Oryzias latipes: one gene and its partners. The protein of the gene in region 4 purifies or fractionates together with the protein of the main gene of each other region. This does not show direct contact. Links are inferred from orthologs where the notes say so. Each region holds a gene or a part of one and is shown on either strand. Other genes may lie near its edges.

Region 1 (7,307 bases), on a different chromosome or scaffold from region 4:
GTCTATCAATGAGAGGTAACGCCAAGGCTTTCATCTCTTAATCATTTTCAATTCTCCTAAATCAGGCAGCAATAGAGGCTTGGATGCAGCTGCTCGGTCATGGAAACCCATTCCATGAATCTCTCTGTATGCTGGACTTGGACTAATCTGAAGGTCACATGAAGTTTGGAGCAATTGACTGTGTAGAAAGTCGGTGACCTCTTTGTGCTTCAGCATCCTCTGACTCCGCTCCATCAGTTTGTGGTCTACCACTTGGTGGCTGAGTTGCTGTTGTTCCCAAACTCTTCCATGTTGTTCTGATAGAGCTGACAGTTGACTGTAGATTTAGGAGAGAGGACATTTCACCACTGGATCTGTGGTACAGGTGGCGTCCAATGACACGCGTCCAATGTCTGTGAAAACAGTCTGGATGACTGAGTGATGATTTGATACACCTGTGGCCAGAACAAGAGATCAGGACACCTGATACTGATCATTTGGATGGGTGAGAGTAGACTCTTGGTAATATAGTGTAAATGGCAATTACTCAGTCATTAGGTTCGTCAGAATAACCATTTTTGCTCTACAAACTTTTATTAACATCTTCTTGCTAACCCTTTTTTTCCTCATGATATTTTAACTGTTACTCAAGTTAGAAACTGACCAATCAGATGCCTCTATAAATGAAGGTGGCCTTGCGTTGAATATTCGAAGCATTTGATTAAAAAATTCTCCAGAGCCCACTTTCAGTGGAATGGGTGTGGCCTTCTAATATAATCACTCCTGACTAGAGAGAGTGGTTGCCATAGAAATTTAGACCAATCACAGCTTCACTGAGGACGTCTGGTTCCAACATAGCAACTGACATCGTGGATGGGGGGTCTAAGGGCAGGGATGCCAGTTCAGCTTAGTCTGTTTGTTAGTTCAATTTAGTATTTTCCACTTGAATTCATGTATTCATGATCCTTTTGAGTTTATGTTGAACCTTTTCAATTACCTATACGAAGCCCATCGAGACGACTGTTGTTGTGAATTTGGGCTATACAAATAAAATTGAATTGAATTGAATTGAAAAATGGCAACTGAATTGACTTAAGTTGGTAGGAGCCAGAAGCAAGGCATTTTCTAAGGGTGATGTCACACGTGGGTTGTCCAGTTATGCAGTCAGTGGGTGTAACATTTTGAACCAGCTGAAGTTTGAAGGTATAAAAACACCTACTTCGCTTGCTTTGGTTAAAACAAACCTCGGCCTATTTCCAATGGTGTGTGAACGAACAGTCATGCAAACTCTGCTCCAAACAAGTGCACCAAGACCCTTCTGAAGCATGGAGAACTGAACTGGGCGATAGAAAATGACTTGCTTCCAATGAAATGAAGAGGATAGAGTAAAACTTTATCGATTCTACAAAGGGGAAATTACCTAAGTCAGTTCACTCACCATTTTTTCAATACGGACATCACCATGTCGGAAACTATTATCATCAGTAAGCAGTGATTAGTCTGAGTCGGTCTAAGTCATTTCTATGGAAACCACTCTGTCCAACCCGAAGTAAGATTGTTGGAAGTCCACATCCCTACCATGTGAAAGCATGCTGGGGAGATTCTGTCAAACACATTGACTGTTCAACATGAGACCAGATATATTTACTGAGGCATCTGATTGGTCAGTTTATAAATTGAATAACTAGTGATGGTTAGGAAAAATCCTGAAAAAAATGATGATTAGGAAGAGCATGTTAAGGAATCTTTAATGACTGAGTAATAGCTTTTTATGTCTCTATAGGAGTCTATGGGATTTCAGCTTTTTGAGACCAGCAGGTACTTGATCAAACCCAACTTCAAATACAGTGGAACAAAACCGTTACCAAGTGTGAAAATAATCCCCCTGAAAAAGATGAGTAAGGTCTGTAATGTTCATCAAAGGCACATGACAGCCATTAGAGACAAAACAAGGGGGTATGTGGTACTAGAAATCACATTGTCTTTTTTTTAAATGGAATAACTAGTAAATTCATCTGGGCAAGATGTATTTGGTCTAATACAAACAAGCAAGATTTCTAGCTCTCACAGACCAGTAACTTCTTTAAAATGTTCCTCTCTCCTCCACTCTTCACACTCCAAACTCCACTATGGCCAAGATTTGTCAAAGCACACCAGATTCAAAATTGTAGAGCTGCACCAGGCTGGGAAGAATCTGCAGCTGTAATAGAAGATCACGGATAATCTCCCTCCTTCTGGGGCTCAACGCAAGACTGCACCCCACAGGGTCAAAATTATAACAAAAATTGGAGTGTAAAAATCCCCAAACCACATAGGGGGACTATGAGTAAAACACCACAACAACAGGCAATCCAATTCCAGACATGTCCCCTTCAAGCCAGCACACGTCCGGGCCTGTCTGGGGTTTGCTAGAGAGCATCTGGATGATCCAGAGGGGGTTGGAAGACTGTGATATGGTCAGATGAAAATAGAACTTTTTGGTAAAAACTCAACTTGTCGTGTTTGGAGGAGAGACAAATGGAGAGTTCGAAGAACACCATACCTACTGTAAAGCGTGGGGGTAGAACCATCGTGCTTTGGAGCTGTTTTACTGCAAAGGGACCAGAACGACTGATCAGTGTAAAGGAAAGAATGAATGGAGGCCATGCATGGTGAGATTTTGAGTGAAAACCTCCTTCCATCAAACAAAGGCATCAAAGAACAGACAAGACTGGATCATCCAGCATGACGGTGATCCCAAACATCTCCCAGGCAACAAAAGGGTGGATTAGAAGCATTTTAAAGTCCTACAGTGGCCTAGCCAGTCTCCAGATTTCAATCCCATTGAAAAGCTGTGGAGGGAATTGAAAATAGTGTTGCCCAGCAACAGCTTTAGAGTAGAAATGCATGAAGGAATGGGCTAAAATACCAGCAAACATGCAGGGCCCATCTTTTTAACTCTTGTGCTGCCTTGTGGGGTCAAAATGACCCCACCCTTACACTGACGTGTTATCCCTACCATGACAAAGGTGGATAAAGGTGAAGAGGATTTCATGCCCAGATGACCCCACTCCCAACGTTAAAGTGCCTTGGATAGCACAAGGGTTATGAGGGAAAAATTACACAATTTGTGGCGGACTGAAAACTTTTTTAACCACTTTATCTGCCTTTTTGAGATCAACAAGTTTCTGTAGGTGAGCATCAAGGTACTAAGCCGTGTTGGAAGTCCGGCCAAAGCCATGAGCCATGGAGGAATCTGCAACAATTAGAAGCTGCAACTCTTCTTTGGTTTTTGGGCAGGCACCATTGACTGCATCAGGGAACTGGACGGAGCTGGTGTGACCCATGGAAAACATCCAGCCTCCAGCTTCAGCGAAATTAAGTCGCCATTTTTCCACTTCTGCTCCTAAGCAGAAGTCATCCTCTCCACATACTCCTGTGCCAGCAGAGCATCAGGGTTTGGTTGCTGCCTCATCCGGTGATCTCAGGCAATTATTTGTTACTTTGGCCAATGGTCCCCAAAAATACATACACCAACTTAGATTATTTCCATTTAGTTTATTTTTTCCTGATTCTGTTCACCAAATCCGTCTGTCTTGACGCGTCACGTGACTTTTAGCAGCTGCTCGGACTGCCAAGTTAGTAGCCCAAAGCTAAAAAGCTAATGAAACCAAACAAAAAAATGTATTTGGAAAGTTTCTTTGGGTAGAAAAGAGCCGGTGTGGAAACCAAAGAAAACCTTCAAATTTAAAGAAAAATAACTCTGCTGTTTACAGACAAAACCAGAGTCTTCCCCGACATACGGATTTATTCAGACAATTGCCGCCTATAATGTGGCGACTGGTTCTTGAATGTTTCACACTCGCAGATAATAACATTACATTCATGGTTATTATTATATTCAGAAAATATCAGTTTTACTAGGATTGTTCCTTTTATACCGCTTTATTTTAAGTCCATCTCACCTTAAAAGTCGGTCGAAGCTGAAGTTAGCGTCTGGTTGCTAGCATTCACTTTGACGTTAAAGGAAGAATATTCATTACAAAGTCTAAGTTTAAATCAGCCGCAAACATTTGACAGAGAATGAAGATTCAATAAATAAAGTTTCTGATTTGTGGAAGTTGTTTTATAATTGTGTGACAGACATTTATGAATTCTCCAACAGCTAGGGTGAATTAGGCAGCCATCTGTTAAGAAACTTTAAGACAGAAAGAATTCCTCTGTGTTTAAAAAACCCACGGTTAATCAGGATTTATGTCAAAACAAAATAAGTTCAATCTTTTTGGCCTAAAAGATGATCTGACACTGGGTTGAGTTCTCAGTGTTCTAATGGTGTTCTATGAAAAAATTGTAATGCTGCTTTATTTTATGTTTTTCATTTAAATTTTTTGCAAATCACAAACAACTTTTACAAATTTTTGGTTTCGTTGAATTTTTGTCATTAGTGAACTAATCAACTGTTTTCAGATTTATTTTAAACTAAATTTCTTGTAGTTTCATTTTAATTTGATTTAATTTAATGGAAGCTTAAAACTATTAAAAGCATTCTTCGGGCCCGTTCGGATCGGTACGTGAAAATATTGTCTGACATTAAACTGATGTGAAAAAGGTTAGAGGTCACTGCCTCAGGCTGCTTGACGGATAAACGTATCCTTTGAGAATGTGGGAGGTTGAAAGGTCCAGCTCAGCAGGGACTGCAGTGAGTCTGAATTCTGCTGGTTGGTGCAAACCTGCACCTTAGGTTATTTTTGGTAAATGAAGTTAAACCTTGTTATTTTGCTCTATTTGCTGTTTTTAGGTATTTCTTATGTTTGATTTAGAAACGATGTGACTTCTACTCATTTCATTGTAAAGCTCTTTTAGCTGTGCAATGTATGAGCAGTGAAAAAACAATTGAAATGTGTTATTTTAAACCTGCATCTGCATGCCATCAAACATTATGATGACACAGAGGAACTACTGCTAAGTCCTCACAAAGAGATGGAAATAAAGAAATGAGTTTTCTTTCTGGCCTCTGTTTTTGTAGGGACTGATCATGATGACGAAACCCGCTGTGGAGGTTTACTGACTGTTTGTGTCCCTTTAGAACGGCCTGGGTTCAGAAGATCAAGGCAGCTTCAGAGCTCTTCATTGAGACAGAGAAGAAGAAGAGGGAGAAGGCGTATCTAGGTACAGTCCAGCTCACATGTACTTACTCAAATGCCTTTCATGAGCAAACTAACATATGTTTCTCCTGTTTTAGTGCGGTCTCAGAGAGCTACAGGAATTGGTAGACTGATGGTCAACATAGTGGAGGGGATCGAGCTCAAACCCTGCCGCTCTCATGGTACAAAAACTCTTGGTGTTCATACAATTAGAACTGTAAAAGAGTTTGGAGATTGTAACTTTGAATACTTTTATAAACAAATGTTTAATTTTGACACTTTTCTGCAGTAAATGATTGTATTTCAAATGGGATGTTCTTGCAACTCTTAGAAGAGGTGGACAGAGCAATGAAAAACAAACATAAAAATGTTCAGCTGGGAAACATCTAAGCTAATGAAGTAACATCAGGTGAACATAATTTGTCTTTGCGTTACGGGGCTGGGGTCTCACAGGGCAAAGGGGGCAAGTTGGACTTACTGCCAGTTATACAAACCAAGAACCTGCTCTGGTTGTACAAAGATCCGACGGCCCTCAGTAATGAGGCCAAGACCCTATTTCTCCAAAGCACTTTCCACACAACATCACAAGACCAAATGATTTTTTTAAATCCACAAAGTACATGTGGATTAGATTGATGAACCTCTCTAAACACTTAAGCCACATTCTCCTGATGTCAACACTAGATGCAGCCCGCCTCCACATTTGGCCCGGCCTGGTAAACAAAATCAGAAATGGGATTTTTTTCTTTTCTTCAATCTGGCACAGTGATCAAGACCCGCATAGGACACGACATTGTATTCCTTCCCTCTGCAGTCTGTGGCCCTTCTCTGAAACCCCCAGTCAAAAAGAACAGAATGTCTATGAAGACTCTCATTCATCCAGGAGGATTCCATCATAGTAGTAGGTTTAAAGGCTGTCATCTGGACTTAGTTTTTAAAGTTGAAGACGTTTCACCTCTTATCCAAAAGGCTTTGTCACTTCAAATTGACAAATTCCAGATGACAACCTTAAAACCTACTACTGTAACAGAGGACAGTCTGTCATTTCTACATGGCAGTTCACTTCCTGCAGTCTCTCTCATTCTTTTAGTGCGATTGTGCATGCTGCTTGATTTCAGGCTCTTCCGTGTTGTCTCCTGTGCAAATACATCCAGCTCTCCAGATAAATCTTTGATCACAATGAGATCTTTGTTTTCATTCTATTTATTACACTGGACTTCATTTTCTGTGAAGGTTTGAACTTTTAAAGGGTTTAAACAAGAGAGAGAAGTGTGAAAATTGTTATGCCTGTCTAGGAAAAGCTTAGAAATCTTTTCACATTTTTAAATGATCTGTAATCCTTCCATGAGTTATTTTTAGAACATAACTGGCATGACAAACGAAGGAAAAACTGTACTGGCGAAAAGATATTGCAGCTATATGCCCAGCTGCAGCAGACCCTCCTTTGTAATTTAGGCTAAACATTATTTATATGAATTACATAGAAATAATTGTTTTTTTATTGGACTGTTCAGAAAAGAAGAAGAGGAAAGAAGGGAGGGATGTTATGGACGGGGGAGGGGGGAGGGGGAGTTAAGGATAACAGGAGGATGATTACATGGTGGTGGTGGGGGGGGTGCTGGAGGATCATCATCATTACTGTCTGGTGTTAATGTTAGTCGGGGGGTGGGACCTGTCCACACACATATTTAAGGGTCAAAAAGACCTGTTGGCACCAAAAATACAATCTTGTAAACATGTACTCAACACAACTACAGTTCTTTGGGTAGAAGCATGTCATTCTTTCACACTAACTATTCATGCAAGGTGAGCTGACACCTGTGCTCAGGTGGGTGTTTGTGTTCTGCTGAGGTGGATGATGGAATCTAAAAAGATGTTAGAGTGCCCGGTCGTCCCCACACCAAGACCCCCCCTGAAGCGGTACCGGTAGCCAGGGGTCCAGACACAGATATGGTAAAGCAAATAGAGGGAATCCGCCCGCCAGGCAGTGCAGCCAGACACCGCCCCACGGCCCCCAACACCACAGAGTAGGGAGGAATAAGAGCACGGAGAGTGCAGAACCCAGCCCAGCCTAGAGGATAGCCCTCCGTTCCGCCACGGGACCCCACCCCGGAGAGGCAGAGACTAATCTCTAATGAACTCTGCCACTCTTCAGAAACTGTGACCCTAAAAAATGAAGGTTTTTTTTTTAAATGGCATAATCAG
Region 2 (7,919 bases), on a different chromosome or scaffold from region 4:
AAAAACAATGCACATTTCAGGAGCCAACCTAGACAGTTTTAAAGCAAAATGTCAAATGAAATACTAGTAAAGATAAAGTCACAGTATGCTGCTTAACTGGAATAACCTCTAAAAGAGTAGGTTTTAACTTTGAACTCCTCACGTGGCTCTCATCTGAACTCTGAGGCTGTTGGAGGGTCGAGGGAGAGTTAAAAAAAACTTTTATTCACTTAAGTTTGGTGTCTACCTCTGAGGAGGTGTAAATGACCTTCTGGGTCTACAAAAGTCTGAAAAGTCCTTTGTTTCATCGTAAGGAAACAGAGAGGAAAACGAAAGCAGTCATAAATAAACGTAAATTATCTTCCAAGACACAAAGTGACCACACCAAGAAGCAAAGTGATAGCAATTGGAAACAGCGCGGCCACAAGAGAATGAAACACAAGCAGGGTTTGTAGCAGGAACAAAAACTCTGAGTACTAAACAGGGCCACAAATGTTAAAAAATAAACACAACCACGTTGGACATTGATTTGTCCAATCAGTCTAATCAAGAAGTAAAAAAACAGTCCCGTCAAAGGTAAAATCGCCCTTTTTGTACTACATTTGAACCGTACCGTAACGATAAACAACCAGTAAACCTGTCTGCTCTATGCTGCTTCATGGTCTTACCCCCCTTCCCCTCCTATTATCACCCTCCTACCCCCCTCTCTCTCTAACGTCCCTCTCTCTTCTTCCCCTCTTTCCTTTTCCGTCCGGTCCAACACCAAAGATTTTCAAACATGATTGAAATTAATAAAGTTTGGCCTCAATTACAAAAGGGGTTTATTCAGACATACCTTTGGTTTGTCTGAAGATGAATAACCCCTCTTGTTAAAATAAAATATGTCCAACACAAGAGGCCCTCAGCTCTCATCTGTTTGCCTAGCTGTTGGACAGGACAAGTTAAAAAAAAAAAAAAAAAAAGGTAAAATCGAATCATTTCAATTGGATTTGAAAAGTCATCTATTAGGAGAATCATTTGATGATGTTTGCATTGTGATTAGTTCAGCCACTGAATGATAATTAAGTTGTGTCTCTAAGGAGGACAGTATAACAACTAAGAATTGTCTGATTTGTTGTAAAGACAACAAGCTAAGAGCTCAAACAGATGTTTAATGTTTTGCAGCGGGACCTTGTTCGGAATGAATTCCCTGTGACTCTGCCCCTCCCTCAACGTCTTCCAACAGCCCAATCCAGACTTAAACATGTACGATGAGCACAAATGTTTCATTTGATGCAAAAATGCAGGCTGTTATTTGAAAGCGGAATGAAGTGGGCCTACTTTAAAAGCCAACTAAAATTTTCAATCCAAAAGGATTAATTAAAAATATTTTGGTTACTTTTTCAAATTGGTCATGTTGTGCAAAAACAAGGTCAGTGAATTTACCTCTCACCATTCTTTACATGACTGAGTTTGAAGAGAAACTATTCAACTTGTGACAACAAGAACATTAAAGCTGAAGTTTGCTTTTTAAATAACAGTAAAAGCTTAAACTTTATTTTAATTTTAACCACCCTGCAATGGAAAAAACAAGACAAATGTAAAATTTAATGACTGTTATCAGGGGGTGAGTTGCCTTGTTTTTTCATGGGATGGGAATTTGTAATAAAGTGAGTGTTTATACATATTTTGAGAGAGTTATGCCACCAAAAAAATACATGTTCAAGCTGGGTTAAAAGCTCACATTTGGTTTTCTGTCCAATCGTATCACTTAATGTTTTTAGCAATATTTGCATGACCCCACTGCAAAGAAAGATTAACATGGGTCAAAGTTTCTGTTGAACGATCTGCTTCTGTTTTCAAATCCATTTTCGGTTATTTCAACACAGACAAGGCACAGTATAAGCAATCTACTTGAACTAATAAATTACAATGCTATTTAAGATATTTTATTTTTTACAAAACATTAACAGAGTTCCGCTGTTTTTTTTACACATATACCAAAACATTGCTGAAAGAAATAACTAGAAGAAAAAGTTTTTACAAAGGATTTTTGGCTTTTTTCTTCTCTTTATTGTAGTTTATTTATAATAAACATGTTTTTTTTCCTATCTGACCTCAACCTCTTCAACATTTGCAGCTGAATTTTTGCTGGGTCCTTGGGGAAACACATTCCTTCTGCTGCAGTTGTGCAATATCTGATAATCCCAGTCTCCCCAAGCATTTAAATTAAATCAGGAAGTCCACATTTCTCCTTTGCAGTTATAAAAGAGGAAAATATGTTAAATTGCAAATACATAAAAAAGACCAGGGTTTTATTCCAAAGTTAACTCGTTATGAAACAATATTGAATACTATACAAATTAGACTTTTGTTATTTTCGTCTGTAGCCATGGCTGCTGTAGTGTCTGTGGCAGTTCTACCTTGACTTTCGCCCCCCTCTGCCTCCGCAAAAAAAAGGAAAAAGAAAATGTTTCCTTCCTTTCACCACACTTGTGTTCAGGAGAAATGAAATTGGAAGTGAAATTGGAAGAGTCTGGATTCACACCCTTTGGCATTTGGGATTTTGAAGACACCTGCTGTATGAAAGAGGAACTGTCTGGCTCATCCTTTTGACTACTAACAGGTATGGAGAGAGCTCCAAATATTTTAGAAGTCCCCATGATTTGCACCTAACATTGTATCATTCTATCCTACTTCTTCACCAGTTGTATCGCTTTCAGGGTCACAGGGCTGCTGGAGCCTATCCCAGCTACTGTTGGGTGAAGGCAAAGTACATCCTGGACAGGTTGTTAAAAAGGCCATAACAGAGATTGACATGTATAAAAAAAATGCTTTGCCCTTTTAATAAATATACACGGTTTTAAAACCTGGTTTTTTGTTTCTTTATTTTATTTTATTTATTTATTTGCAGCAAGAGCTCTTGGTCGATTGACCGCTATGTCCATGTCTAAAACCCGCCAATGTGTAAATATTTAACACAAAAAAGTGTGCATTGCTAAAGAAAGAAGGTGTTAAAAAAAACTGAAAAACTGATACATAAAAAAACCATTGCAAATCATGTGACTTGTTGAGAACTGGACAAGTTCTTAAAAAATGAACACTGGTGTTTGTAGTTTCCTGGTACATTCCAGGAGTTCTTATCCAACCGTTAAAAACACATTTCCCATGGTGCACCACAAATCAACGAAGCTTTCCTTTTTCCTGTTAGCTAGTGCAGATAACCGACGAGCTCTCGCCCGAATAACTGCTTTTTAATGTAAAACCACTAAATTGTTACTCAGGAACTCGATATTGTTGTCACCAAAGGTTCTGCTAAGGAGACGAATATGGTAACGTCGCCTTTTTTCCTCCATGTTTTGTTTTTTCCACCCATAGTCTTTCAACATTGAATTGCTAGCATTGGTGGGATTCGTACCGATATGCCGTTCAATGAGTCACTTGACAGCCTTTGCTAGACTTCAGAAAACAAAAAAACAAAACAAGGAATACAACCTATTTAGAAATTATTCATATTTTATGAATTCTATAGCAATTAAATTGTTCGCAGTTTTCTGTCGGGAGGCAAATGCTAATGTAACGCCGCTGTCAGATTAGCCAAGAACGTTAACTAACTAAGTCAGGGAGGGAGCCCTCGAAAATTTGTGGATGTTTTAATCTCTGGAATTGAATTAACTGCTACACTTTATTTGTGGCGTCTGCTACGCATTTCTCTTGATTTCTTGATTTAAAAATAGCTATGCCTTGCTTACTTATTTTCTTTTTAATCCCAAAGATCCGGTTCATTCTCATCCAGAACCGGGCAGGAAAAACCCGGTTGGCCAAATGGTACATGCAGTTTGATGATGATGAAAAGCAAAAGCTGATCGAGGAAGTACATGCTGTGGTTACAGTCAGAGATGCCAAACACACCAACTTCGTGGAGGTAAAGAAGTTTACTATTCATGTTGTCAGGCAGTGGTTCAGTGTTCGTTTAGCTCGATTTCTTTGATAAAACTAGTGTAGATGACTGTTTTTCAAAGAAGAAAATATAGCTTAAATTGTCAGCCTTCACCGATGCTTCAGTAGATTTGGTGCAAACACGTGCAAATTACTTAGAATTATGACTCAAGATGCTTCCATCATCAAGCTCAAAATTATTCAAACGCACAGCAAATACATTTTGTTGAATCAGCAAGTTTTTACCTGATATGAAACTAAAAGTGATTGAAAATACATCTCAAATTCTATTTGAGTTTGTATAATTGTAGTTTTGAGGAGCAGCTAACAGATTTTCTCTAATTATTCAAAAACCCCAGGGGGATTTTTTAACTCATTTTTTATTTTTTTCCCCTGTTTCTGTATAAGCAAATAAAGTTGTTTCTGCTGCTGCAAAAAAACATCCCGCTTCAAATCCTCCCATTTCTTTATTAAATATGGATATAAAGATGAATATATATGTTTGTACCACATTTATTTTTTTTATGATAAACATAAAATTATCATGGTGTGTTTTGCCTCAAAGTCTGGGAGCCTATACCCCAGTAAATCTGCTGTTGTCATAATATGAGAAACTCTATTATTAACAGGCTGATTCCACTTTGTTCCCACAGTTCAGGAACTTTAAGATCATTTACCGGCGTTATGCTGGGCTTTACTTCTGCATTTGTGTGGACGTGACTGATAACAACCTGGCATACCTTGAGGGAATTCACAACTTTGTGGAGGTGAGTACACATAATGTGCTCTGATCATTTTGTTATCCTGGTCAAATGTGTTTCGTGTGTCTGACCTTTTTTTTTCCCTTTTACTTATCATTTTCTAGGACTGGGTTTTGCCTAAAAACTGATGATGTATCATTCCTCCAACCAGTTTTATGTTATATTTCTGCCTAAAAACAATTTTGTAAGATTTTGATTAACACTTTCAGAAGGATAGGTTGTTCTAAAACTTTACAAATAAAAATAGCTGAAAAAATGTTTTGTTTTCCCTTGAAAAAAGTTGCTTCAAAAGAAAATCAGTTTATAGATTTGATGAATCAATATATTGAAAAAATGAAGTTTTGTTTTAACCCGACCATACCCCTTAAAAGTTTATCATGCAACATTTATCTTGAGATCATTTATATTAATTGTAAAATATTCATTAACAGATACCATTTCCATGGGGTAAAGTTATAGTTTACCCAAAGACATCATTTTAGATTTAATAAGACGATATCGTTTGGGATCTCCTTGTGACAACAATGTAATCTGTTTTGAATTTTAAAAACAAAAAGTGAGCAACATGTAGAAAAAAAATGAATTACGTGAATATCAGCAAATGGATAAATTATCCTCAAGTGAACTTCCAAACAAATAGATTTAATGGGCAATGATTTGATGGTAATTTATGTTATTAACAGTGTTGTGCTAATTCAGTTGCTTTGGAAAGCTTGAAGAAGGAGAACGGTCACTTCCATGAGTTTAACAGTCTGTAGTGACACTTCATTAGTCTGTGTGCTGTCCTCTCAACAAGCTGAGACCCAAAATGTTGCTCATGAGTCTTTCCCGATTCCTGAATGAAGCTTAGGATGTTTCCTTTGTGTTCTAAAAGGTCCTGAACGAGTATTTCCACAATGTGTGCGAGCTGGACCTGGTCTTCAACTTCTACAAGGTAAGAGCACTTGAAAATCATCATTTGTCCATTTGCTTTTGACTTATTTTACAAATGCCTCGTACAAGAAAGTATAAACAGAAGGACAAGTCAACAGAATTTCCTTTTTATCTGTTTAAAACTTGGATGAACTCCCCTGGATTGAAAATTCAGTTAAATGAACATTTCCAAACTTCCCTTGTTCCCCTGTTCAGAACATTCTGCTATGGTTAGTTAATTCACTTATTCTTCTGTTTTGTTCTTCCAAATTATTGCCAAGATACTAACAAGCTGTGAAGTGATACATTTATAACATTAAAATGTTCAAAGCATGAATTCTGGTCTGTATTCCTTTAATGGATCAATTATGTTGAACATTTTTTTGAACATTTGAATGTCAAAAATGTTGTTTTTAAGAAGCTGACAGATTGTTTTTCAGTTTGGAATGGAAGCATTTTTTAAGAGAAGCAATTTTGCTCAGTTTGTGACCTAATTTCCCGTGAACTCTTGGTTTTTCCTTTTTTTTTTCTTTCTCATTTCTGACCTTGTCTGTTATGTTTTTTCCCCTCCAAGGTGTACACAGTAGTGGACGAGATGTTCCTGGCAGGAGAGATCAGGGAGACCAGTCAGACCAAGGTCCTTAAGCAGCTTCTCATGCTTCAGTCACTTGAGTAAAAACAAAATCCTCTGTCCTTCTTGCCCACCGGACATCCAAAAAATATATATAAATACAAATACTTTGATGTGTAATGTCACTTCATATACAAATCCTCTAGTTTTTCAACATGCCAAGTGACAACAGGCATGTGGACGAGGACTACACAACATCCACTTTTAGATATCCAATCAGCCGTTTTTTTTTTTTTCCCTGCAGTTTTTTATCTAACCTTCTGAATCGTTTTAAAAGACGTCTTTCACTACATTTCAACGTGTCAGCATTTCAAGTTTCTTTGAGTTTTTTTTTTGCTTTTCTACAGCCAAAGGCTGCAGAAATGAGTTCTTCTCCACAGTTATCTTTTCATTTATGGCATTTGTCAGAAGCAACTGTGACGGCAGTCTTCTCATTCCCACATTAAACAAAGCAATTCTTTAGCGGCACTAGAATTTAGAAGCCCCATAAACTCAGGCCAGGCCCACCTTCCCTTTACCTTATCTCTGATTGAAGTAGCCTGTTTATCCAAAATAATGTCTTTAGGTGGCATTTATAGTTCTCTTGTGTTCATGTGTAATGCTTACATATGCAGATGTGTGTGACTGATGCCAGAGCTTGTAAGAGGGTGGTACAATGCAGGATTGTCAATCAAAACGGTGCTCTTTGGTCACTGTTAACATTTAAAACGATCCGGAACAAACAGGCGGGTTTTATGTGAAGCACTACTTTGGGTTTGCTTTGTGTGATCTGTGTAAACAGTGTTGTCTGTGAGTATTGTGAAATGATTGGTCACGAAGATTAATCTTCAAAAATATAAACTCATTTGAGATTAATACATTCCAACAGTGTCATATGTGCATTTAAAGTACTGTCCCTTTGGACTATCATTTCTGGTGAAATCCCATATTTTTACCTTTAGTTGCTTCACATGTTAGACTTTGGGTTTTTCATGAAGACAATATTGAACTATGTACCCACCTGGCATTTGATAGAGTGCTAATGGAAGATGTTACTGTCTTAAATTCAGCTGCCTACATCAGCAGTCCCATTTTGTGTAAATAAACAGATTTATCGTTCAGCTTTTCTGTTATTTCTTCAAAGAAAATGTGTACAGTGTTATAAAAAATACATTTAAATTCTGGCAGCACCATCTAGTGGCCAAACAGTAACATGAATGTGATGTCATCTCAAGCCAGTCTCGGGTCAATAAACCAGTCAATATATCTATTTCAGCTTCATTAAACCACTTAATCTTTCAACTTAAGAGCATTAAACTAATTAGAAAAACGACCTGTATTTATTTACTCATTACATAAGCCTTCTGATATCCTAACAAAGCTGGAAACCTTTTGAGGCAAGTGGCTCAAAGGAGGAGAAACCCTCTACAATCAAAATCTTTATTACTTAGACTTTTAAAATAAAATGTACAATTCTTTTGATACAGTATATAAACAAAACATACATGACATTTTGAAAATAAAAGTGCACTTTCAGAGGAGGAAAACCCCAAATACCTGCGAATGGACTCTACATACTTTGGACAGTTCTATATTATAGTTACCCTTCAGTGTGCACACACGCACACTTTTTTCTTCTCCCCTTCTCTAAAGGCCTGTTTAGAAAACAAACCTGAAGGGCAACGATGACTTACAAGGATAGAGTCATCACTTCCTGTGCATCCCTTCCAATCGGCAAC
Region 3 (7,307 bases), on a different chromosome or scaffold from region 4:
TTTTAACAATAACGGTCTAACTGGAAATAAGTTGCAGACATAGGTGCATTAAAGTACAACTTGATATCAATAAAAATGTATTTTTTCACTGTTGTTTTTATAGGTTTAAAATATAATTATCAGTAATGTTAAAAATTGACACTTAAATTTAATCTTTAAACTTTTTTCTGTGTTTAAGGTCTTTCACTTTTTGAATTTAAGTCTGAAATATTACACAAATAAATTTTTTATATTTACATTTAAACTAGTGGAAGGATTACAGGGGGGAGGCCATAATTTAATAAGTACAGCATTTCTATCAATTGATCTTTTTCTGCTAAAATATTGAAAATAAAGTGGTTGCACTTCATTATTGTTTCATATTTGCTGACCTCTGGTCTCAGAAAGTAAACATAAATTCAGGCAATTTAACAACTATCATTAAGTTCCCATCTTCCCTGCAAATTATTTTAGATCATTAAGCCCCATCGTCCCAAAAATCACAATTTTCCTATGCATTCAAGATAAATCAATACAAAGGGATTTATGTAATAAATTTTCCTGCTTGTGATTGCTTACTTTTGAACATCAGAGCCTTGCGGGCACGCAAAAAGACCGGAGGGGAGAACATGCCCATTCAGCTGATAGGAGACGTGCTGGCGTCGGAGCTCGCGCAGATGCATCCTTACATCTGCTTCTGCTCCGGCCAACTCAATGCTGCTGCACTGCTTCAAAGCAAAACCAACAACCAGCCTGACTTCAAAGACTTCCTACGAGTGAGAGTCGTATGGGCCAACTTCATCCTCACATAGAAATGTTTCTATGCAAAGTTATAAATCTAATTTTCTGTCCTCTGAGCAGAAGATAGCCACTAACTACCGCTGCAAAGGAATGCCACTGTCCAGCTTCCTCCTCAAGCCCATGCAACGAATCACTCGCTACCCTCTGCTGATAAAAAATGTAAGCAAAACAGGTCAGATATCTCATCGTTATTTAGAATGCCTTTCTATTCATTGGGCTGCGTCTCTTTGCCAACTGCCTTTAAATTTGGGTCAGATCTTGGAGAACACCCCAGAAAGCCACGCAGACCACGGACCCCTGCGGGAAGCTCTGGAGCGGGCTGAGGAGCTGTGCTTTCAGGTGAACGAGGGGGTCAGAGAGAAGGAGAACTCGGACCGACTGGAGTGGATGCAGAGCCACATCCAGTGTGAAGGGCCTATTGAGGTAGACCAACCCTGAGATGTCAGATGCAAATCAGCTATTTCAGCTTAAACCTCAGTCGAGTAATATTTTGTCAAAATCTTTCTTCCAGAATTTGGTCTTTAACTCTTTAACTAACTGCCTGGGGCCACGCAAGCTGCTCCACAGCGGTCGACTTTACAAAACAAAAGGCACCCGAGAGCTTTGGGCTTTCCTCTTCAACGACTTCCTCCTCCTCACCCACAGTACCAAACATTTCTCTTTCTCGGGATCGGACAAATTGTTCAGCCCCAAAACCAGTGCTCAGCTCAAGATGTACAAAACGGTATGGTCACAGACATACAGTGGGGAAAATAAGTATTGAACACGTCAACATTTCTCTCAAAAAACATATTTCTAATCGAGCTATTGAGACGAAATTTTAACCAGATGTCGGCATCAACCCAAGTAATGCACACATTGAAAGAAATCCAAACATTTATGTCCATAAATGAAGTTATGTGTAATAAAGTGAAATGGCACAGGGAATAAGTATTGAACACATGAAGAAAAGGAGGGGTAAAAAGGTCTGGCAAGCCAAGAAAGCAGCTGGAGTTTGTCCGTATTCAAAAGGTCAACCTGCCCCATATTAGTGCAAAGTAATATCAGCTGGTATAGTCCTGATTGATGCCTTTTAAAAAGGTTTCTCACCAGCAAGGTGTTGGACAAGAAGCATTGCATGATGGGTAAAAGCAAAGAGCTGTCCAAATACCTACGCAACCTTATTGTTGCAAAACACACTGAAGGCATTGGTTACAGGCGCATTTCTAAACTTCTGAAAGTTCCAGTGAGTACCATTGGGGCCATCATCCGGAAGTGGAAAGAACACGGCATTACCATAAACCTGCCACGGCCAGGTGCTCCTCGCAAGATTTCAGACAGAAGAGTCAGAACAATCATCAGAAGGGTTCTCCAACAGCCCAGGACCACTCGTGGAGAGCTTCAGAAAGACCTGGAATCAGCAGGTACCGTTGTTTCAAAGAAAACAATAAGTAATGCACTCAACCGCCATGGCCTCCATGCACGCACACCACGCAAGACTCCATTTTTGAAGAAGAAGCATGTTGAAGCTCGTTTGGAGTTTGCGACACAACATTTGGATAAACCCATGACATTCTGGAAGAAGATACTCTGGTCAGATGAGACCAAAATTGAACTCTTCGGATGTCATAAGACACATGTTTGGAGGAAAAATGGCACCGCACATCACCCCCAAAACACCATACCAACAGTCAAGTTTGGAGGTGGGAGCATCATGGCGTGGGGCTGTTTTTCAGCATGTGATACTGGTCGACTTCATATCATTGAAGGAATAATGACTGGAGAAAAGTATCGAGACATTCTTGATCAGAATCTGCTGTCATCTGCTGAAGATGAAAAGAGGGTGGATCTTTCAGCAAGACAACGATCCCAAGCACACAGCCAAGGTAACACTCAACTGGTTGAAGAAAAAGAAAATAAAGCTGCTAGAGTGGCCCAGTCAATCACCAGACTTGAATCCAATTGAAAATCTTTGGAAAGAACTGAAGATCCGGGTTCACAGAAGAGACCCCCGGAACCTTGAAGATTTGAAGGCAGTTTGTGTGGATGAATGGGCCAAAATCACACCTGAGCAATGTATTCGACTGGTTTCTCCATACAGGAGGCGTCTTGAGGCTGTAATCACCAACAAAGGTTTTTGCATTAAGTATTAAATAAATTTCAGTAAGCGTGTTCAATACTTATTCCCTGTGCCATTTCACTTTATTACACATAACTTCATTCATGCACATAAATGTTTGGATTTCTTTCTATGTGTGCATTACTTGGGTTGATGCCGACATCTGGTGAAAATTTCATGTCAATAGCTCGATTAGAAATATGTTTTTTGTTTGTTGATGTGTTCAATACTTATTTTCCCCGCTGTATATGCTCAGAGGGACTGAGAGAGTTCTTAGTGCAAAAGTTTCAGTATTTCTTTAAGAACGAGCTTTTTTTTCTCTTCAGCCATTGTTTCTGAACGAAGTTCTAGTGAAAATGCCTCCGGATCCATCCAGCGACGAGCCGGTCTTCCACGTCTCGCACATCGATCGCGTCTACACGCTCAAAACCGAAACTCTGAGTGAGAGGTATGCACACACGCACAGATGCACTATCCCCGGGTTGCTGCAACCTGTAAAAGGGGTTTTTCTTTTGATCTTTTTCTGCAGGGCAACGTGGGTGCAGAAAATAAAAGCAGCATCTGAACATTTTATAGAGACAGAAAAGAAAAAGAGAGAGAAAGCATACCAAGGTGAGCCCAAACTTTCCACAAATACTCAACTCCATTAGGAAGAAGGGGTAAAGTTGCAAAGTTTACCTGAAAAAACACTTTAAAGGGTTGCACATACTTTTTTTAATGGGAGTTTTATTTAGTTATTTTTTAAATGCCCTTTCTATTTCTAAACCTGCAATTTTTAAATATATTTGAAGTTGCTTGTAAAATACTGTGTTTTATAAAATGTCTTTTTTTTAATATAATTTGACTGAAAGAACATTTGAACACTCCCAAATATATTTAAATTTGGCATATTTTGAAGTTTTCAGTGGGTTTCAAACCTCTGTTTATCTGCAGCCCGCTCCCTGAAGACGAGTGGAATCGGTCGACTGCTGGTCACCATCATTGAAGCTCAGGAGCTCAAAGCTTGTAAACCAAATGGTGAGAAAACACACCTTTGTCTTTTTTAGATAATTAACTAATTTAGCTTTTTTTGGACAATAGCAAAAAAACATTCTTCTTTTCCTCAGGCAAGAGTAATCCCTACTGTGAGCTGACGATGGGGGCTCAGTGCTACACATCCCGTCCGGCCAGTGATACCCCGAACCCAAAGTGGAACTTCAGCTGCCAGTTTTTCATCAACGACCTCTACCAGGATGTCCTGTGTATCACTGTGTTTGAAAAAGATCAGTTCTCTCCAGACGGTTCGTGCCACACAAACACAGTATTTAATGCTTTATATATATATATATATATATTTATAAACAAAATCCAGGCATCAACACTGGTCCCAAAATGCTTTAATTAAGTTATTTAATATTTTTAAGCAGTTTTTATTCTGAGAATTTATTCATATTAGTATCACTGTGGAATTAAAAACCTTTCCTTTTCAGATTTTCTAGGTCGCACTGAGGTTCCCGTGGCAACCATAAAGAAAGACATGGAGACCAAAGGAGCAGCAAACCGCCGCCTGCTGCTGCACGAAGTCCCCACAGGAGAAGTGTGGGTCAAACTTGACCTGCAGCTTTACGAGCCAAGCAGATGAGCAACGTTGCTGTTCACACCAATCTTAGTTCAAAACAATGGCAGTCCAACATCTATAAGCACATCAGTCACTGTTTCAGACGCAGGGAATCGTCAGATGAACTCAAAAAACTACATTTCAGACCTTAAAGCATGGTGGCGTTAGCATCATGTTGTCTTTTTAACACTGTTGGACCTTTTGATGACATTTTAGGCTTTAGTACATCAGAGTACCTAAAGATTTTATGTTGCTTGTTTATGCAAACTGCTATCACTGTGCAAATCTTTTATGAAATAAAAATGTAAGACGTGCCTATGCAATCTCTTGCACAATATGACATAAAAATTTTAGGGATTTTTGAATTCGAATTTTTTTTTTTTTTTTTTTTTTTTGGACCTCAGGCCAGATATTATGCTAAGAAGACTGCTAAAATGTTCCACTTCATCACTGGATTTCTTTTACTTTAAAGCTTGAGATGTGTGTGAAAAAGGAAGAGATGTAAAGATTTTGCTATACAGCTAATGAAGGAAAATGTGTCGGAATGTCTGTAAACTTTGCACATTGACTTTGTGGTGTAACCACAAGGTTTCATAACAAATAAAAAAATAATGAAATAAATTAACTTTGTTTCCTAAATAAATGCGAGTGTAATACCTGTATCTGACTGAGGGAGCTGGGACAGAACTAGTTCTGTTTGAGGCAATGCTCTGGTCAGGAACTGGATGTTTTTAATTGCTGTTTTAATGGCACATACTAAAAAAAAGATGCTTTTGTGTTTTCTGGTCTTAAACTTTCTTTTTTTAAACTTAAATAAGACAAACTGTGTCTGTTCTTTTGGGGGTCAATCGTCGGGGAGTCCTGAAACACGTCACTTAAGAATGGGAATAGAACTCATCCCCACAGGGAAACTGACAAGAGACTAACTTTTTTTTGGACAAATGTTAGATGCATAGTTTCATGTTTGTCATTAGTTACTGGAGCAAAAGAAAAATATACACACATGCATTTCAAAATGAATCAATAGCAACATTTTAAATGAAATAAAAATACCAGATTTAAAGAAAAGGCTGCAACTTTAATTCCAAACACTTAAATGGAAAAAAAAACAATACAACTTAAATTTGGTGCTTTTATTTCAACTGTTTCCATGCATTTTCATCTGTTCGCTAAATCTTAAGTCAGTATTAAGCTAATATGGAACCATGTGATAAACCATTGTGCATGATAAAGAAGTTAACCGCAACAGACAAAAATCAAAAGTCATGAACACAATATCCTCACACTGCCTGTTATTCCTTGGTGGTGAAGAAGACTGTAGTTACAGTAATATAAAGAATATAATTAAATAAATGATATTATACTGCAAACTGTTTCTTAAAATCTACCATAAATTATGAAGGACTTGCTCCACAGGTAATAAAAATGTAACAAAAATAATTCTTCATATCAATCTAAAAATATACCAGAGATTTTGGGCCAGCTGTGGTGCAGAGGTAGAGCGGTCAACCTCTGATCAGAAGATTGCAGGTTCAGTACCATAGATAGACTCACTGTACAATAGAAGTCACCATGGAAAATGTTAACTTACCTTGGTGAAGAAAAAAAGCAAGCTTGATTCTAAATTATCTAAAATGCGGTGTGTGCACAACTTTGTTTTACAATACTGTTGTCATGGCAACGGAATAAAGGGAGGCATATTTGTTACAAATTCAACACAATCTTCAAACTCCCCCTAAAAATAATGAGTTTTATTGCTTTACCTTCCCGTCACAGTAAAAGAAATCTTTAAAATTTTGAATTTTAGCAAATAAAATAAAACAATTTTTTTCCCTACACAAATAAATAAAAAGAACCTGGTGACCTGCAGAGCCATCTGGTTGCTGCCTCCATGCTCTTAATGCTCCTGCAGGAGGCTGAAGAGCGCTATAGGCGTCTGCCTGGACACTTTGAGGAGAGAGAGAGAACATGATGTTTGGGTATTAACAGCAGGAAGGTGGGCGAGGCTTGTCCAGGTCATAACTTGACTTTTCACACCTTTCTTTCCTTTCGTTGGAGAGTCCAGGACGGAACGGGGGGGAGGCTACATGGATTGGTGGACTTGGTTGGCAGCATGCATTGCCCTGCTTTGGATTTTCTGCTTCATAGATGGTAAGATCAAATATTCATAATTTTTTTCCCCGCTTTATTATTCAGTGTTGAATTTATGCTCTTTAAAAACAGGCTTCTTCCTTAAAAAAACTAGGTTGATGATCATGAAAACAATATGTTGGGTAAAAGATTTAGAGAAAAAACAGAATTGCGTGCAAAATGATCTGAAGCCACATTTTTAACCATAAAATCAATTTTTTAATTGGGGAACAAATCCCAGTTGAAAACATCTACTAGGATCTCCTGGTTCTTTTTGCAAAACAGACTAAAAAAAGGAAAGACGCTTGGTCCTCTTCTCAGATGCCCCCTAGTAAAGCGGAGGAGGGACTTTAATCCAGGGGCTGTTTGTAATGGTTTGTGACATTAGTCAGGGAGTTAAATAAGACTCCAGCTGACCCGGTTACTGTCTTATCTCCAGGCAATGCCGTGCTTGAGCTGCGGCTGCTCTTCCATGCTCTCACCAAAGCCGCTTGTCACTTGTACCTGGCCCTGCTCCCGCTGCGCCGTGCTGCCACCCACCTCACCGACTGCGCCAGATACCTGCTCAACCATGCCCAGCAGGGCCCATCCCCCCATGGCTACATCCACCAGGGTCAACCCCTTGCCAAGAAAGGGACGCTGCACTTCCTGGAGGCCGTGTGCGTGGTGTGCGAAACGGTGCCCAACTTGATGGGGGCCGGC
Region 4 (7,307 bases):
CTTATTTTATTAAGCAGATCACCTACATAGGTCAATTTCATTTTTTATGTAAAACCAATAAATGCATTTTGTAAGTAATTTTTTCTGCCTTAGTTTTTTGTACAGAAAAATTACCGAAAATAGATGGATGTATAGATAAAAAATATATTAATCTCCCAAGGGAGAAATTCAGGTGTAGGGCAGCAAAAACACACACAAACACACACAATAAATAACAATAAAAGGTTCATATCAGAAAGATTGGTGATTGGCAGTACCAAACCGAAATGTACCGAACCGATCCCTGTGAAATTCTGAACCGAACCGAATTGAGATTTTAGCGCATCGTTACACCCCTAGTGCAATCACACAATCAACCAATAAATCTCTTATAAATATATAATAAAATCATGAAATTGTGAAAAATCTGCACACAGATTTTAAATTAGCCATAATATTATTAAATATATTTCATTTTTGCTTTAAAAACCTGTTCATTATTTTAAAACAGCATTTTAAAAGATTCATTTTTTATCATGTTGAATATTATAACTGTTTTTTTTTTTTACAGAAACTTTGATTTCAAAATCAATATTTTCCAAAGTAGCTTTGTTTTTATTTCACACTGCTGTCTTTCAGAATGACTTTTTTATTTCATGATGAGCTTTTTCAGCAGAATGAGTCTGTCTGTCAATCATTGAAAGTGGGTGGGATCTAAACGCTCATTGGCTAATCCCTAGAAATCGACTCGTATTCCTAGAGTCCCGCTCTGTGGCGTGCTACAAAGAAGATCTATTTCAGCGACATCCGCACGGCTTTGCTGACATTAGCTGATCAAATGGAGACAGTCTGTCGGCAGACGCTGTTTTGAGTCGTTTTTGAAATGCTCAGCTTGATCATTGCTGCAGAAGATGCAGACATTGACAACTCAGTTTTTGCCAGTTTGAGAGCAATTGAGCACCGGGTCCGTGTGGATCACTGGGAAAAAACAAAACAGCTGTTGGTATTCCTACACCCGTTATTTTATATATAAAAGGGGGGGGGGGGTGGACGTGTGTGCTTGCTTGCACAATGTTTTTCCATTAAAATTAGTGGTAAAGAGTTCTAAGCTGTTTTTGCTCTAAAAATAAACGCTTTTATTTTTTAAAGAAAATGTGTCTTAGCCCTTGGAATCTGGAAACACATGGAGTTTTCAGATTGTTTTTCCTTATCCTCCCCACAAAGAAGACAGCTCAGCTGTCTCAGCTAATGGGTCTGATTGGTCTGAGAACCTAAAGGTAGAAGAGGTTTTCTGCAAAAAGAGGTTCAGACGTGAGCTGGGCTCACGTCTGAACTTCTGTTTAGTCAGGACAGCAGTTCTGTGTGGACACCACCCTCACACCTATCTGTGTCCTGCAGATCTCCACCCTGCAGAGCCAGATCCACTGCCAGGAGTCAGACCTGCTGTCCCAGGAGGAGGAGCTGAGCCGGGCCAAGACCGACCTGAACCGCCTGCAGCAAGAGGAGAACCAGCTGGAGCAGAGCTTGGCTGCCGGGAAGATCCAGCTAGAAACCATCATCAAGTCCCTCAAGGCCACCCAGGACGAGATCAACCAGGTCAGACGCAGGTTTAGAGAGTGTGCTGTCAGCAGGAAGCGCTACTGCACATCAGAGACTACCTGTTTCCTGCCTAAAGCAATGTTAACACCGGGCTCGAAATGCACATTCGAGTGACTGCTTCCAATGAAAAGTCTCTGTAAAAATGCCCACATGCGCATTTTGGGCTCCCATGTTCAAATCTCACATTTAGGCGTAGCTACGCAAGTTTCTGTGACTGTTTTTGGGCTCTACGTACAAAACATATCGCCACAAGTGTTGAAAATTAAACATGGTTGAACTTTGATCAATTGGTAGTCATTGGATTTGGTATTGACGGAAGGATTACATCCTTTTCAATACATGGAAGTGTCAACCATTAGAAATTTGATCAATGAGGAGAAATTAATACGGTAATTGCGGTTTGTGCCCTGCCGGAATTCTATGACACCAAGTCTTTCATGTGTCAGAAGAGAGCTGTGAAGGAAAAATCCTGGAGCAAGATTCATGGAATTTGCACCGCTTCAACATTTTACACCAATTCTCTTCCAACTGCGATTACATGTGCTAGCATCAGGCAGCGACAAACCTGTGTGAACCCCAAATCCTAAAAGCACACTCAAAAAACCATCGTTCTGTGTGTTCTCGACATGCCCGCTGTGTCTGTAGCGTAACTGCCCTGATGAGGTTTTGATGGTGCTGAGCACTCGTCCCACTCCTGCTAGATCAAGTCTGCGTGAGTTGAAGGGCATGGGGATTGAAAAGAAGGTTTCTTCTCTTGGTCCCCCGCTGCAGTGAAAGTGAAATAAATGCTGAGGTGTGTCCTGCAGGCCCGCAGCAAACTGGCCCAGATCCAGGACAGCCAGCAGGAGGTGACGAGGAGCATCGAGCAGTACAGCAGCAGCCTGAACGGGGCGCATGGAGGCAGCATGACCAACCTGGCCGACATGAGCGAGGCCTTCAGCGACAGGGATAGCGGGGGCTTCCCAGCCATCGGGAGGCTGCCACAGGTCAGGGGGCTAGGCCGGAGTTCTGATCCAGAATAAAGAGTGGAAGCAGGTCACTGATGGTCCACTTCTGTTCTGCAGGAGGATCCATTCAAAGGGAAGCCTGCATTCAGCAGCCAGACTCAGGAGCTTCCAGACCCCTTCCACTCTGAGGACCCCTTCAAAACAGATCCCTTCAAAGGTCACCCACCCCCTCGCACGTCTTGCTGTTGCTGTCCTGTGGGCTTTTTTTGTTCCCTCCTCTCACCTGCCTGTTGCCGCTCTGCGCTCTGCAACTTTTCTCCCCCATAGCTTTGATCTTCTCTCTGCTACCTATTTGTTGACTGCCCCCCTCCCCATTCCTCTCTTTTAGGGGACCCATTTCAAAATGATCCTTTTGCAAAGCAGCCGTCCTCATCTGCAGGTATTTCCCTGAAGCCAACGCGCTGTGTGAGGTTCAAATCTGATGCCTGTCAGTCCTGCAGCACAGTTGAGCCTGATTTCCACTGGTCCGCCTGCGGTGCGTCTCTGTTGCGTTATGTTAACACACAAAATAGATCGTTTATTCGTTAATTGCAATGTTTACATCACCTCCGCCATGTCTGCGTCTGGTGTCCGTCCCTCCTCAATGCAAGCTTTATGGAGGAGTGCTACTTCCAGGCCGCTGATGTGTCGATTTTGCAGCAAATAGCCGGAGAAACAGAAAACCGGTTCGGGTTTCAGAATAAAATCTTCCATTGTACTTTCAAAATAAAACTATCAAATTTGATTTTGTCTTGAAGGTGCCCACACAGTAACACACGTTAACAGATGTGGATAACACACCATCATCCGGTTTCGCCTTGGGTGACAAGTTTAATTCTGGAAGTACAGAAACACAACCTCATTTCTGACACAAAATATGCATTTTACAAGGACTCAGTGAGGACAGCCACAGGTGATGAGAGCGGGACGAACCACTCAATACAGGGGTGACAGGACAAACCACTCCTCCAAAAGCCAGGGGGAGAGGATGGACGGACCGGAGACGCAATGGAGACGATGTAAACTAACAGTCTTGATAGTCGTCAGCACTGATTTCCCACGCAACGCAAAGGAGACCCGCCAGAAACAGAGCAGTGGAAATGAGGCGTTAATCATCTGATGTATGAGGAGGCTCACCTGGTGAGGGTGGTGAACTCACATTGAAGGTTCATCTGCTTTGTAACCCAGTAGTTCATCCTCACTCTGTCCAGAAGTTTAGGACATTTTTATGTAACTACAGCAGGAGGAGGTCCTCCTGTGAGCAGGCTGACAACATCAACCTCTGACAGACCCGAGCTGAGAGCAGAACCCTCTGTAACCAAAGCTGCTCTTGCTGCAGATCCATTTGGAGGAGACCCGTTTAAAGATCCCGATCCCTTCAAGGCGTCATCTGAAGACTTCTTCAAAAAAACCACAAAGGTGGACCCTTTCTCCACACCTGACCCCTTCAGCAAAAGTGCCACCTTACCCTCCAAGGTACGTGTAGGAAACTGACTGGACTGGTTCTGAAAAAGAGCTTGCAGAGTTTTTTCGGACTCGGGCAGAGTTCTCGTGACTCTTGGCAGACGAGCACAGGTGGGCCTGCATGACCCCCCACTAAATGTGACACTGACCACCATTTGTTTGTGTTCCCTGCAGCAAACCACTCAGCTCGCAGCCGCCGACCCGTTTTCTTCCGGCCACCAGAGGTCCAGAGGGCCTGGTAGGTTCTGTTCATCAACCACACTTTTATTTTACCTAATAAGTATGTATATAAAAATAAAGCAGCATTTATCAGGTTTGTGGAAATATATTATAAATTGAAACTATCTCAATTCCTTCCTTAAGAAAACAACCTAGAAAAACCTTTGAGGGCATGAAAACAGTGGCATATTTTGGGGGTTTGCCCCACCCTGCAGGCTGACCTACAGACAAACCACAAAAGATGCCCCACTGTGGATTTTTGATCTAACTCTGCAAACAGTTGAAATGTCAGAGAACCTCAGGGTTCATCACGCCCTAACTTTAAATTTGATAAATAACGTGGAGAAGATTATCGGCCCTCTGGCAGTGTAAATTCTAATTCGGTAAACACAACGTTCCCTCACTGTGTCGCCGTTCACCTTTCGCTGTTTCTCAGATTTAGCATGCTTTTTTTGTACAACATATTGTGTTCTTCATCCGGATTGGCTGTTGACCTTGTCAATCATCTCTGTGCCGTCTCTCCTGGGCAGAATGCAGTTTTCCACATTTACATCTATTCCCATCAGATCTTTGCTTTTTTTATTCCGTGACACTGGACAGATTTTTCCATGAAGGTTTGAACTTTGAGAGTTTAAACAAGTGTTTGGTGTGTTTGACAAAAGTGCATAACTTTTTTTAGTGAGGAGTTTTGCAGCCTTAAAACATCTGGAATCCTACTTTGCGGATTTCAACCATTGTGGGGTTTTTTAGAACGTAACCCCCTCAATAACTCGGGGAACACTGTACACCCAAACTGTGAGTTGAGGCTTAAGCCTAATCTTTAGATGTGTTATGATGAATGCGTAAAAATGGTGGATGAAGAGTGATGTTCCTGCACATTATGGAGAAAAGATCCCAAATGTTTGCTGTACTCAGCTTTAAAATTGTTAAGATTCCCTGGCATAGCAAAGAACTTAACAAAGTCAAGGACCTATATGCCAATAATATCTTCCCAACCTTTGTTAATCTTTCAGCCAGGTATAGGTTGCCTAACTCACATTTTTTCCGTTTCCTGTAGGCATGAGATTTTGTGAAGAAACAATTCCCTCATTACCCTAACACCCCCCCCCCCCCGAAACTTTTTTAGATACCTTACTGGAGGTGGAACCACAGCAGATTTTTTGTATTCCAGTTCTAACTGGAGGGAATGATACAATAGTCTGTAGTTCAATTTTTCCTTCATGAAAACCACCTGGGAGGAGGAATTACAGGTGACTTTATCTGAACAACAATGGGACACAGCCTTAAAGTTAATACATTCGTCCTCTACCTGTGCCCGACATGCCTTGATCCAGTGCAAAGTATTTGACATTACACAAATGCAAAACTATCCAGAATTTACACGTCCGTCTCTGATAAGTTCAACCGTTGTGGACACTCGCCAGCCAACCATTCCTATATGTTTTGGGCCTGTTCCAAAGTAAGAATTTTCTGGACACATGTTTTTAAAACGCTCAGCCCGGCATATGGAATAGCGCTGCAGCCTAATCCAGTGTCCGCTATCTTTGGTTTTGCGGTTGATTTGAATCTCTCTGGACCTTGTACACGTGCTCTGGCATTCACTACCTTGATGGCCAGACGATTGATTCTGCTTAGGTGGAAGCTCTCTGACCCCCCCCCCCCCCCCCCCTCACATGACTATTGGGTGAAGGAGGTGCTATATAAACTGAAACTTGAAAAGCTGAGGTTCTCACTCAAAGGATCTCTAAGTAAGTTTAAAGAGACATGGCATCTGTTTTTATTACTGACAGATACACTAACATTACTCCCAGAGGCAGAAACTGACTGACCCCCCCCCGCACACAATTTTTATCATTGCCCTTTTTTTTTCTCTCAGTGTCTAATCATCATTTTGTTTTGTTCTCCGTTCAGATGTAAGCATCTCAATTCAATATTCATACAAATAACCCCCCCCTTTTTTTCTTATTCTTTTCTCTTTTTTTGTGTGTGTCTGTGTGTGCTTGTATATGTGTAGGGAGATATTATGTCCTGTGTGTATGTGTGCATGTGTGTGAAAGATTGTGTATACGCATGACCTGGATATGGGAATGTTCTGTGTCCGGGATGGGAGGGATATGGGGAAACACAGAGCTGTATTGTCACTTACCTTTTGAAAATATGCTCTGTTTGTTGATGTGTTTTAAAAACTCAGTAAAAAAAGTTGGAATAAAAATGTTAAGATTCCTGAAAATCTGCCCAGAAGAGCTTTGTCTCCATCCCAACCAAGACCTCCAGCAAACATGAACAGCATAGAAAATGCACAAGACAGACACACACCCCGCTGGGGCTGTGACACCTGCTCCCACAGGTGTGCACACACCTTTCCTGGACCCGAAAACTGTGTGGCTGTTCTGTGTGAGCAAAACAGGACAGAAAACATCAGCTCCTTGGATCCATCAATCCCAAATAAATAGAGAGTATAAAACCTTTTAGATTGTGACAACTAATCTTAAAACATGGTGACAAACGTGTCTATCCAGCCCGTAATCCTGAGTGTTTGCTAAAAATGTGGCGCTAGAGAATTCAGGGGCTGCTTGTAAAAAGGCAGATTTAAAATTGACTGTGATCTGATTTCTTATGGATTTAATTGAACAAATGAAACATGTCACCATAAAATAAAAAAAGACTGTGTTTTCAGACCATTGTTGCTGACAGAAAGAGTAAACAGCACCACCTACTGTAATTTATCACCATAAGCAGCCACGGTTAGTAAGAGTAATTCTGAGTGGAGACAAAACCAGAATCCACCTCCAGTCAGTTCAGTACAGAAGACGGCTGTGCTGTCACCTGTGCCATGTGACCTTCAGTTCTTCAGTTCTGACCTTCTTCTGTCTTCAGACGTGTTCCAAACACTGGATCCATTCGGGAGCGGCTCTTTCAGCACCAACAGCTCCACTGGGTTTGCAGACTTCAGCCACATGTCCAAGCCAAGGGACCCCTTTGAAGGACGAGCCGGCTGGTTACCAGACTACCAGAAGGTGTGCTCACAAACACGTGCACTCATGCATACGGAGTCAACTT

The links.
Region 1: the proteins of epidermal growth factor receptor substrate 15-like 1 (region 4) and itsn1 purify together in Homo sapiens (affinity purification with mass spectrometry; 4 studies listed by BioGRID and IntAct, with this or other methods). This does not show direct contact. The link is inferred for Oryzias latipes from reciprocal best matches to the Homo sapiens genes EPS15L1 and ITSN1.
Region 2: the proteins of epidermal growth factor receptor substrate 15-like 1 (region 4) and ap2s1 purify together in Homo sapiens (affinity purification with mass spectrometry; 4 studies listed by BioGRID and IntAct, counting the BioPlex papers as one, with this or other methods). This does not show direct contact. The link is inferred for Oryzias latipes from reciprocal best matches to the Homo sapiens genes EPS15L1 and AP2S1.
Region 3: the proteins of epidermal growth factor receptor substrate 15-like 1 (region 4) and intersectin-2 purify together in Homo sapiens (affinity purification with mass spectrometry; 5 studies listed by BioGRID and IntAct, with this or other methods). This does not show direct contact. The link is inferred for Oryzias latipes from reciprocal best matches to the Homo sapiens genes EPS15L1 and ITSN2.

The regions. Positions count from the first base shown.
Region 1 is NC_019873.2:638,237-645,543, forward strand, and holds part of itsn1 (intersectin-1), read left to right. Parts: coding exon 1-15; intron 16-5,044; coding exon 5,045-5,127; intron 5,128-5,200; coding exon 5,201-5,284; intron 5,285-7,307. UniProt on the Homo sapiens protein: Adapter protein that provides a link between the endocytic membrane traffic and the actin assembly machinery. Acts as a guanine nucleotide exchange factor (GEF) for CDC42, and thereby stimulates actin nucleation mediated by WASL and the ARP2/3 complex.
Region 2 is NC_019871.2:14,619,670-14,627,588, reverse strand, and holds ap2s1 (AP-2 complex subunit sigma), read left to right. Parts: upstream 1-3,135; 5' UTR 3,136-3,287; coding exon 3,288-3,290; intron 3,291-3,733; coding exon 3,734-3,883; intron 3,884-4,550; coding exon 4,551-4,664; intron 4,665-5,532; coding exon 5,533-5,592; intron 5,593-6,144; coding exon 6,145-6,246; 3' UTR 6,247-7,303; downstream 7,304-7,919. UniProt on the Homo sapiens protein: Component of the adaptor protein complex 2 (AP-2). Adaptor protein complexes function in protein transport via transport vesicles in different membrane traffic pathways.
Region 3 is NC_019882.2:14,806,304-14,813,610, forward strand, and holds the end of intersectin-2, read left to right. Parts: intron 1-571; coding exon 572-755; intron 756-840; coding exon 841-939; intron 940-1,035; coding exon 1,036-1,203; intron 1,204-1,291; coding exon 1,292-1,504; intron 1,505-3,204; coding exon 3,205-3,326; intron 3,327-3,407; coding exon 3,408-3,490; intron 3,491-3,811; coding exon 3,812-3,895; intron 3,896-3,984; coding exon 3,985-4,158; intron 4,159-4,347; coding exon 4,348-4,499; 3' UTR 4,500-5,100; downstream 5,101-7,307.
Region 4 is NC_019862.2:5,470,170-5,477,476, forward strand, and holds part of epidermal growth factor receptor substrate 15-like 1, read left to right. Parts: intron 1-1,377; coding exon 1,378-1,575; intron 1,576-2,384; coding exon 2,385-2,564; intron 2,565-2,642; coding exon 2,643-2,742; intron 2,743-2,913; coding exon 2,914-2,964; intron 2,965-3,903; coding exon 3,904-4,040; intron 4,041-4,202; coding exon 4,203-4,266; intron 4,267-7,124; coding exon 7,125-7,264; intron 7,265-7,307.